Linked DNA regions of Mus musculus. The protein of the gene in region 2 interacts with the protein of the main gene of each other region in a biochemical or structural test. Links are inferred from orthologs where the notes say so. Each region holds a gene or a part of one and is shown on either strand. Other genes may lie near its edges.

Region 1 (4,599 bases), on a different chromosome or scaffold from region 2:
TGGGATTTTGTTTTGTTTTGCTTTGGTTTTTTTTTTTTCAGCAGCTAAAGTGAAATATGACAAAATGTTTGGTTGTGGCTAAAGAAATCATTTTACATGATGGAATGTACTATAGGTGCTCTGGTTTCCAATTGACATGGGAAGAGATCCACGATACATTCTTTAGAAATGAGAGGTTACAGAATTGTAAATAGTGTGTGCTTCAGTTTGATAAACCACATTTCCGTTAATGCTTTCCCAATGTTAGCAATGTTGACGGCTGGCCAGTGGCATTATGGGGGGGGGGACCCCATTTCCTTCTTTTATATTTTATTCTCTGAATTCTTATCAATAGAATCAGACAAAGTGGTTTGTGTGCACACTTTAGAGTCAAAAGGATTGCTTCAAGTTCTTGGGGTGCATTTGAGAGCTACTTAGTGAGGAGCCTTAATCAATACACTATACAGAACTTTCGAAGGGGCTTAAATGGCATAGTAGATAGTGCTTCTGTGTTTGGTGGTGGGGAGAAGAGGCCTACTAGTATAGTAGCATCATCAGTCTCACTGTGCAGGACCTGCTTTGAACCCACAGAGCCTGGATCTGTACCCTCTCTTAGTATGGGAAAAGACATTCTTTTTGTAGGAGGGAGAGAGGGAGTGTGGAAGGAAGGAGGGAAGGAAGCAAGGAAGAAAGGGAGAGGTGAGAGAGAGGAAGGCTGCACTCATATCCCACTTTTATTTTATTTTGTTTTGTTTTGTTTTATTTTTGAGGCCAGGTCTCGTTTAGTTGAGCTTTTGAAATGATCAACCAGAAAGAATTAAAACTTCCCCAGGGGTCCCATGCTGGGAGAAGGGAAAGTCTGAAGCCTGGTAAGAGAAGAGGGCTAAAGCCTTGGACAGGCAAAGGGCGGCTGTGCTTCTTAGGCAGAGATTTCCTGTGAGTTGTCAGACCACCTAGCAGGACAGGGGAGAGCTAGAAACAACAGACAGCCCAGGATGGACAGGACTGCACCTTGGCCAGGCTTGCTCAATCATGCATACCTTCTGCAGAAGCCTAATCCTCATGTCAACACCCTGAAGATAGACTTGCGGGAACCCTGAGCCCTTTAGTTCTTCTTCTTCCTAAAGTGGACATATTGAATAAATACTTTTTTTTTCCCGATGCTTTTTGCTATAACTTGTGGCTTTAATTTGTGTATCAGAGACAATAGTGAAGCCTAGTTTGTTGGGCCTGCCAGAGGCCAGGTTTTCATTCTAAAACTTCTGATAACCTAAGGTACACGTGTCTTCCCTTGGGAAGTTGATCTTATAGGTAGAATAGGGCTCGGGTCTTGACCAAAGAACCACAGTGAGTTAAAGAGTTCCTGGAGCAAACAACGGCAGTGCCAGGCTACTTGGGCCCTGGTTCACCCAGGCTGTGTTTATGAAGGCTTCCTTCCTGCTGAGCCTTGGGGCTGCGCGCCAGGAACACCTAATGGGCAGAACAGAACACCCTTCGCTCCCCTCCCCCCAAAGCAGGAATGTTCTAAATTCCTCCTTGGCCCAAATCCCCCTCCCCACCAAGGTTTCTCCTGGACTCACAGAGGTTCACCACACAAAAGCCCAGCTGGAGTTCTTGACAGGGAAAAATATAAAACCCACCAAACGTTTTTTGTAAGAGTACCGCAATCTTTTCCAGCCTCCAAGGGTTTCATTCCCATCTGTAAGAAGGCTCAGAGTTACAGGTGGAGTTTACAAAGCTGTGGCTAATAATTAGAAATCCCTTATCACCACAGCTTGTGACCCCTTGGACCCCGTTCGCCTTTCTCTGGACCTAGTCCTTGTCCCCAGAAGCGTCTCTTCCAGAGCTCTTCGAAAGGACGGCTCCGTGAGTATCTGGTCGTGAGTATCCTGATGCAGTTGCTACCCTTCAGGCTCACTTAGGCGGGTGGTTTTTAAACCTAGCTGCTGTTTCTGGAGCCCATGATGGAGTCAGGGTGGGCTACCTTGGACCGTTGAGGGAAGGTTTTGGAAGTGGGCACATGGCGCTACGTGTTTTCTTCAAGTTGTGACACGATTTGCAGTCTTACGGGCCAGAAGATCTGAAACGAAGGAACCAGGAGCTAGAGCTTTTCCCTTTTTGCTGGACCACAGGGGGCTAAGCAGGTCAGGAAGCTCCCATACTCTCCTGGGCATGAGAGTTAAGGGGGCAGTCGAAGGTGGGTTCCTCTGTGACTCTCCTTTTGAACCCCTCAATCGCTCTCCGTAAATGTCCTGCCTTAGACACTCTTCTTTTCAAGCGTTCTTAAATATTGAGTCGGAACCGAAACATTCGTGGCACTTAGAGATAGGGAGACAGTCGTTCTTCCTCCTCGTCCCCCAAACCTTTCCTTTCTGTGTTTTTCAGTGCTTTAAAGTAATGCTTGATTTTACTTTGGTGGCCATGACAAAAATAAGCTTCCTTTTAAAGACAATTATGAAATCTATCACTCTAGGTGCAAGTCCCTTAGCTGTCCTCAATCAACTGGTACAGAAAGGTAGATTGCAAAGAGATGGCTTTGCCACCTACTCGAGACCCTGGCTTGTGGGAGTAGCTTACCGGGATAGGGAGCCACTATCTCGGATTCCTCTGCGGTGGTGGTGGGGGGGGGGGGGAGGACTCTAAAAGCAAGGGACTGAGAAATGAGGATGGCCGCCAGCAAACAGGCTTTAATGGCTTCCATTCATAACAGAAAGCTATATCATGTCCTTCCTTGAGCCGGAGACTCTTAATGGTCCGGTGGCATCCATGATTGTAAGAGATGACACCAGGCAACATAGATGGGGAGACTATCAGACCAACTTCCCTGGTGAGAAGGAGTTAAGTAGGGAGCTGCTGTCAGCCTTTCCTCTTAATCTTCTCCCGCAGTTCCAATCCCGCCTCTAAGGAAGATTAGGTAGGGGTCCTGAGGGAAACTTTCTTGGCCAGCTTTTAGCCATGGCTTCACTCCCAGGAGACAAATTTCAGCAAGCAAGGCCTAGAGTCTCTGTATCCCCCAAAGTCTCTGCATGTGGCTTTTAGGAGAAGCCCTGAAAGAAAGGTTTCTTTTAAAGCCCTCTCTACTTCAAATAGCAGCTCCATAGTCTTGTGTTGGTTAAAATGGTCACCTGTTGCCACTACCTGCTTCCAGGTGAGAGAACCTTGTCGATGAGCTAAGCCAGGGATGAGGGACCGAGGGGATTTCTTCCCCAGGTTCTAGGCACAACTGAGACAAGAAACTAGAGCGTTTGACGCCCCGCCAGGACCCTTAAGCTTCAGTGTCTGCTACTGCTCACCAAAGATGAATCACTCCTGGCTGGCTCACCTCACCAGCCAGTCACTGGCCAGCATGTCAACCTTATCTTCCTGACCCTAAGGGAAAATTAAGTGGCAGGGAGCCACTTCTTCCATTTGAATAAACCCGGATAGTGTCCCTTCCTCCTGCTGAGCTATGGCAACCCACTTTCTGAAGATTCCAGCCTTCAGTAAGGGTAGTTTCTTCACTCAACTACAGATACTTTTCTCTCATGACTACCAAGTAAGGCCTGCCTCTCTGCATAGGATTTCCTCCTGGAGAACCTTTGATTCCCTTGGGGGAAACTGAGGATTACTGTTTTGTTTCTGTTTGCTTTTTTTTTGAAACAGAGTTTTGCTATCCAATACTCCCTGGAACTTCGCAGTGTAGCCCCAAGCTGGTGTCTAACTCAGCACACTTCTGTGTCTACCTCCTGAGTACTGGGATTCCAGGTTTGTGTGCCAGCATGCCCAGCTCAAGCTTCTGTCTGTTACCATCCCAAGAAAGCAGAGGCCCGAGCTGCTTCTCTGCGAGCCAGGGGCTCTTTGCTAACAAAACCTTCAAGGGAGCGCTCTTCAAGGGAGTACTTTTCTGAGTGTATTTAACTCACCCCAGGCAAGGTGTGGAGCAGGGTCCAAGAACAGTTCTCAAAAATAGATGATTATAACACTAAAGAATGACCAACAAGTCTCCAGGTAAAATGGTGGCTGGCAAGGCAGATGAAGGAAACTGCACCTACTCTGATACAGCTAAGTTGGTATGCACATGTGTTGGGGGTCATGAAACGGGAAGTTAAGGGCTAGAGATGAAACTCAGAAGTATGAGGTCAGATAATAGAGAGCTTTCCCTGGTTTCCTAGGAGACTGAGCCTCATAGTAAAGCCATCAAACATTCCTAAAGTCTTTTAAGCATGGCAAAGTGTAGCATGACTGCTATGACTGGATTTGTACTTTCGAAAGATCCCTCATGACTATCTTGATGATTGGTCTCAGGGACAGGACTGAAGTGAAGTTACAGAGGCCAATCTGAGTTCCAATGGACAAGTGATGTTGACTGTATTGTCTAAAAAGGGTTGGACGGTGGAGATAGAGAGAAAGATAAATTTGTGTTTTATTTTGAAAATATATCTGGCAAAACAGCACTATGATTATAAATCAAGAACATGTGAGGAAGCCAGCTGCAGTGGCTCATCCTTATACTCCCAGCATTCAGAGGCTGAAGTGGAAGGGTTGGCACAGGTTCAAGGTCAGCCTGGGCTATATAGCAAGACCCTATCTCAAAAAGAAGAAAATATATAGAAAACAGAAAGGCTGAAGAATCAAGGCATA
Region 2 (4,667 bases):
TGAATTACCCCCACAGATTAATCTTAGCTCATATTTTTCATTTTATTTATTTACTTATTTTGGTGTTTTCGAGACAGGGTTTCTCTGTGTAGCCTTGGCTGTCCTGGAACTCACTCCGTAAACCAGGCTGGCCTTGAACTCAGAAATTCGCCTGCCTCTTGCCTCCCAAATGCTGGGATTAAAGGTGTACGCCACCACGCCCGCTATCTTAGCTCATATTTAATGTTGATCACAATCACTAACAGCCCATAAATATGTTATTTCTGACTATGTGACTCCATTCTCTATTTTAAAGTACTCTGAATTTATAATAAATTGGGTTTTCTGAAAGGACTTTCTCCTTGCATTCATCTACGTGGTAAGATAAACATCTTCAGCTAACATGCTTTCTATACCACCACAATGGAACTCTCCTTAGAAGTCGCTGCACTTAACCATCAATTCAGGGACCATGGGTAAATCTATTGACTCTCGTCAGCCACAGAGTTTTATGGCACTGACTTGGATTTATGTCCTTCATCAAGATTCAGGCCAACTCACCAATATTTGCTGTGTTTATTCTTAGGTAAAGACTTTGGAGTAAGAGTTTGTGTATATCAGAATTTGAAACGCACTCTTTGGCATAGCAGTTTCACTTTTAATAAGCTGACATAGAGTAGCAGGTGTACAATACAAAAATGTAAATACAATTATATAAATTATACTCATTGCAATAACAATATCCTGGAAACAAGCCCAACAGCTCCATCCAAAAGGCAGTGATGACTGGAGCGGCATGGTGAAAACTACTCGACCTTACAAAGCTGGAGAATGAAAAGTACTGACGCACTCAAGTTCTACAACTGCTGTGCCAAAAACACAAGAGCAGGCTGCAAAACGAGTGTCTGTATGTCTTCACAGGGGTAGGAGAAACAAAAGCACCCTATGTAAAACAACCATGGAGCTGGAGCTTAAGCATTTTGGGTTCCCTGAGAACAATAAATGTGACTTAGGGAAGGAGGCAACTGGTTAACACTGCATTCACTAGCTCATTGAGGGAGGGCCTGGCTTTATGTAAGACTGCATCCAAGAAAATAACCCTTCAGTTCCCAGCTAAGGACGCAAATATTTAACTACAGAGGTGCCCCTATGTGCCATAAGATCTCAATACCATAATTTATGTGTAAAAGCACACCTTCTAAATCACCTTGCCACAGCAAGCTATTGGAAACACTTCTCTTGGAATAACACTTTCCAAGTGTGTTGTCTTGACTAACAAGTACCAGAGCTCACACTCTGAAACAAACTGACATTCTGTGTAATATGGCAACAAAGCCTTTCATCCCAGGAAAGGAAGTCCCAGCAAATGCAAATATCATCACTTATATTTTAAAAGTAACAAATGTTGCACTGATTCTAGTTTTTGGACCCAGTCTTTCTTTTAGATCTCTTATCAATGTTTGCTCAAAAAAAAAGATACAAACTAAATTACTCCTACAGGAGCAATACTCTATTCCTTAAAACAATCTATACTAAACCTTGTATCTGCCAAAGAAACAAGGTCCTGTCAAGAATTCAGAAATTTCCATCTATTCTCAAAGGTTATGATTAAGTATTTCAAATAGAAAACTACATAAAATCACCACCTGTTTAAGCTGTTTGAATAACGGATTGATTTTTCTCACACTGTATGTCTGTCATTGAAAAAGCAAGCACTTTAGGATTTTTTTTTAATTAAAACGTACAAAAGAAGGATTCTACTTCATCTTTAAGAATTTTAGCCTAATGTAATAATAATATAACACACTGTCAAGAAGCACACTTCAAAGCACACAGGAAAATAGGCAAGTTGTTTTGTGCAGAATTCACCGGGCTCTTTTGGTTTGCACCCATCTTACTGTCCATGTGTAGGGACACTTTGTGCTACTTCTGAAAGTTGAAATTAAAGTGCTTAAAAACTTTCCTCCTTCTGTGGCCTCACATAAATAATAAACCTCAAAATAAACCATAGCTACTCTAGAGCTGAGTGTTTTGCTGTCTCCAAGCTTTATCGCTGCCATTGCGCATACCGCAGCGGGTGACATCAGATCGAAACTATAGGGTTTCGTCGGGTACCAACCACTCCTCCAGAGCCAGCCCCGCGGCTACCCACCCACCCTCCTGCTGCAGCTGACACCCCCGGGTCTCCGCAGACACGCTCCCGGGACCTGAGAATCCTCACCCGGGGCGACTTTCCAGGCGCGGGACCTGTTGCACGTCGCCTCCCAGCGCGAGCCGGAGCCAGGCACCGGCAGCCGTGCACCTGCCCGGGCGGCAGGCGCACCCCCAGCCCGCCCTCCCGCCTTCCCTCACCGCCCCGCCGCGGTCGCCCCCGGCTGCCGCCGCGGGGAGGGCGGGGCGAGGCTCCCCCGCCGCCCCCCGCCGCCCAGCCCGCCGCCCGGCTGGCCGAGAGGTTCTCACCTTAGCGGCCGCGGCCCTGGCGGACATCTTGTCTCTCTCCGCGCCGCGCGAAGCTCCTCGGACCCGAAACTCCGCGCCGCCGGCCCGCCCGCTCCTCACGCCACCGTCCGCATAAACATCTCCCGGGGACGAGCGGGGCAGGGGCGGGGGAGGCCGGAAAGGCCCGGCCCACGGGGAGGGGATTCAAGTGGGACAAAAGTCCGGGAAGCGTCCGCCCCGCCCGGGCTTCTCCGCGGGGCACACCCGGCCGCCTGCTCGGCCTCCGCCGCCCTCCGCCGGCTCGCCGCTCCGCAGTACCCGGGCCTCCGGCTGTCCCCTACACCCTCGGGCGTCTCCTCCAAAGCCTGCTCCCGCACGTAACTTCCCCGGAACGCGCGGCCGCCGAGAGACGTGCCGTCGGCGGGCAGAGCCGTCGCGGGCAACTCAGGCGGCCACGCAAAACCTGCCGGACCGGGCCACTGAGCATGCCCAGCCGGCGGGGGCGGGGCCTCCGCGAGGGGCGGGGCCAGGCCGGGTCCGACCCCCGCGCGGAAGGAAAAGCTCGGCTACCCAAGTTACTTGCTAGGCGGTTTCCGCTGCCGCGCGATCCATCCTGTTTGTTTTTATCACAGATCCGGCAGAATTCGATTCACCCCCACCCCCGAGAACCCCAAACTCCTGTGTACTAAAGCTTTTTGACTCCCTACACAGACTTGTCTACTTTCTCCTCAACCAGCAACCCCAGATGGGCCCCACGCAGGAGTGTGACAATTAAGGTCGGCCTGGCCAATACCCAACTGTGGTTTCTTTAGCCTCGCAAGTAACAATGGTCACAACTGTCACCATGTGTCTCGGCACTGTTACCCCATTGGAGATATGTTTTTGTTTAAAGCACAACAGAAGCGTTCTAGAAGGCTCAGGACAAACCGACTGCCTTAAATAAACCAGGTACAAATCTGGACACTGAGATAATCCCAGCCCCCTTCTCCCGCCTCGCTAGACAGGGATCTCAATAGAATATTTTAGGCTATCAAGATTGCTGAAATTCTTGGCCCCTGAAGAGACAGAGCAGGCTGCCTGCCTTTCTAAACCAGAAAAGGATGTAAGGACACGCGGAATTCAACAAGTTCAATAGGCCACTGTGCAAACTTAGGCCAACTGTCTTGCTGAACCAAAAAAAAAAAAAAAAAAAAATTAGGTAGAAAACTATTTCGAGCTTCATTAATTTACATTCTGTATACTGCAAAGCTCTTAAGGAATATTAGAAAAATTTAGTAACATTAGATAACATCCTAAAGTACCTAGCATAGTGCTACAGTAGCCATACAAGGAAGAGGGAGACAGAAGCATCGGCTTTTAGACTATTGTTGTCTTTTGAGAATTCAACTATATGACCAATTTAAACCTAATTCTAACTTGGAAATATCCATACATGAAATGTAAACATCAATTAAGGTTTCAAAGTCAAGTATTTTGTAACTCTAAGCCAGCTGAACCAGAAAAGAGCATCGTGCAAACCAAACCCTGTTTCTCGGCATGTAGGAAAACAGTTAAAGTCAGTTTTGTTTTTTGTTTTGTTTTGTTTTAGTTGTGGTGTGTGTAGTTATTTCACAGGCAAAGTGTCCTGTGTTCTCTCAAAGGGGGTGATTAAATTTATCCTATGAGAAAACAGCATTATAAAAGACTTGGGTGTGCTGTGGCTGAGAAAGCGGTTCCTGAAGGACTTTCATACCAGGGAGGGCATTACCATTTAATAAGAGATGCACTCTGCAAACCTGCCTAGCAGTTTGATGCGCCTACTCCTTCCCTTTTCTCTTTGGTCAATCAGTTTATCAAGTCTATTATGTAAGCTAAATATTAGATCACTACATCGTGTCTACATCTAATTTACCTGATTGGTCTTATCTTGCCATGGCTTTAAAAAAAAAATGAAATCAAGGAAAACCATTTCACTTTCAGAACACTTTGCTTTAAAAAGTGTGTCAATTAAAAATTTCCAAATAATGTAACCATTCTTAAAATTTTTCCAGTGGTATTTTGAGTAACCAAATTAAATTATCTAACATGAACTATAAGCTGCACTAGGTAAGTTGAATAGATTTTTTTTTTTTCTGAAACAGGGTTTCTCTGTGTAGCCCTGGCTGTCCTGCAACTCACTCTGTAGACCAGGCTGGCCTCGAACTCAGAAATCCGCCTGCCTCTGCCTCCTGAGTGCTGGGATTAAAGGCGTGCACCACCACGCCCGGATT

What was found. The genes of interacting proteins can lie anywhere in the genome.
Region 1: the proteins of Tjp1 (region 2) and Cldn2 form a complex in vitro, tested with the Homo sapiens proteins (2 studies listed by BioGRID and IntAct, with this or other methods). The link is inferred for Mus musculus from reciprocal best matches to the Homo sapiens genes TJP1 and CLDN2.

What each region holds. Positions count from the first base shown.
Region 1 is NC_000086.7:139,799,166-139,803,764, forward strand, and holds the start of Cldn2 (claudin-2), read left to right. Parts: upstream 1-1,642; 5' UTR 1,643-1,845; exon of another isoform or gene 1,846-1,859; intron 1,860-4,599. UniProt on the Homo sapiens protein: Forms paracellular channels: polymerizes in tight junction strands with cation- and water-selective channels through the strands, conveying epithelial permeability in a process known as paracellular tight junction permeability.
Region 2 is NC_000073.6:65,368,371-65,373,037, forward strand, and holds the start of Tjp1 (tight junction protein ZO-1), read right to left. Parts: upstream 2,875-4,667; 5' UTR 2,467-2,874; coding exon 2,440-2,466; intron 1-2,439. UniProt on the Homo sapiens protein: TJP1, TJP2, and TJP3 are closely related scaffolding proteins that link tight junction (TJ) transmembrane proteins such as claudins, junctional adhesion molecules, and occludin to the actin cytoskeleton.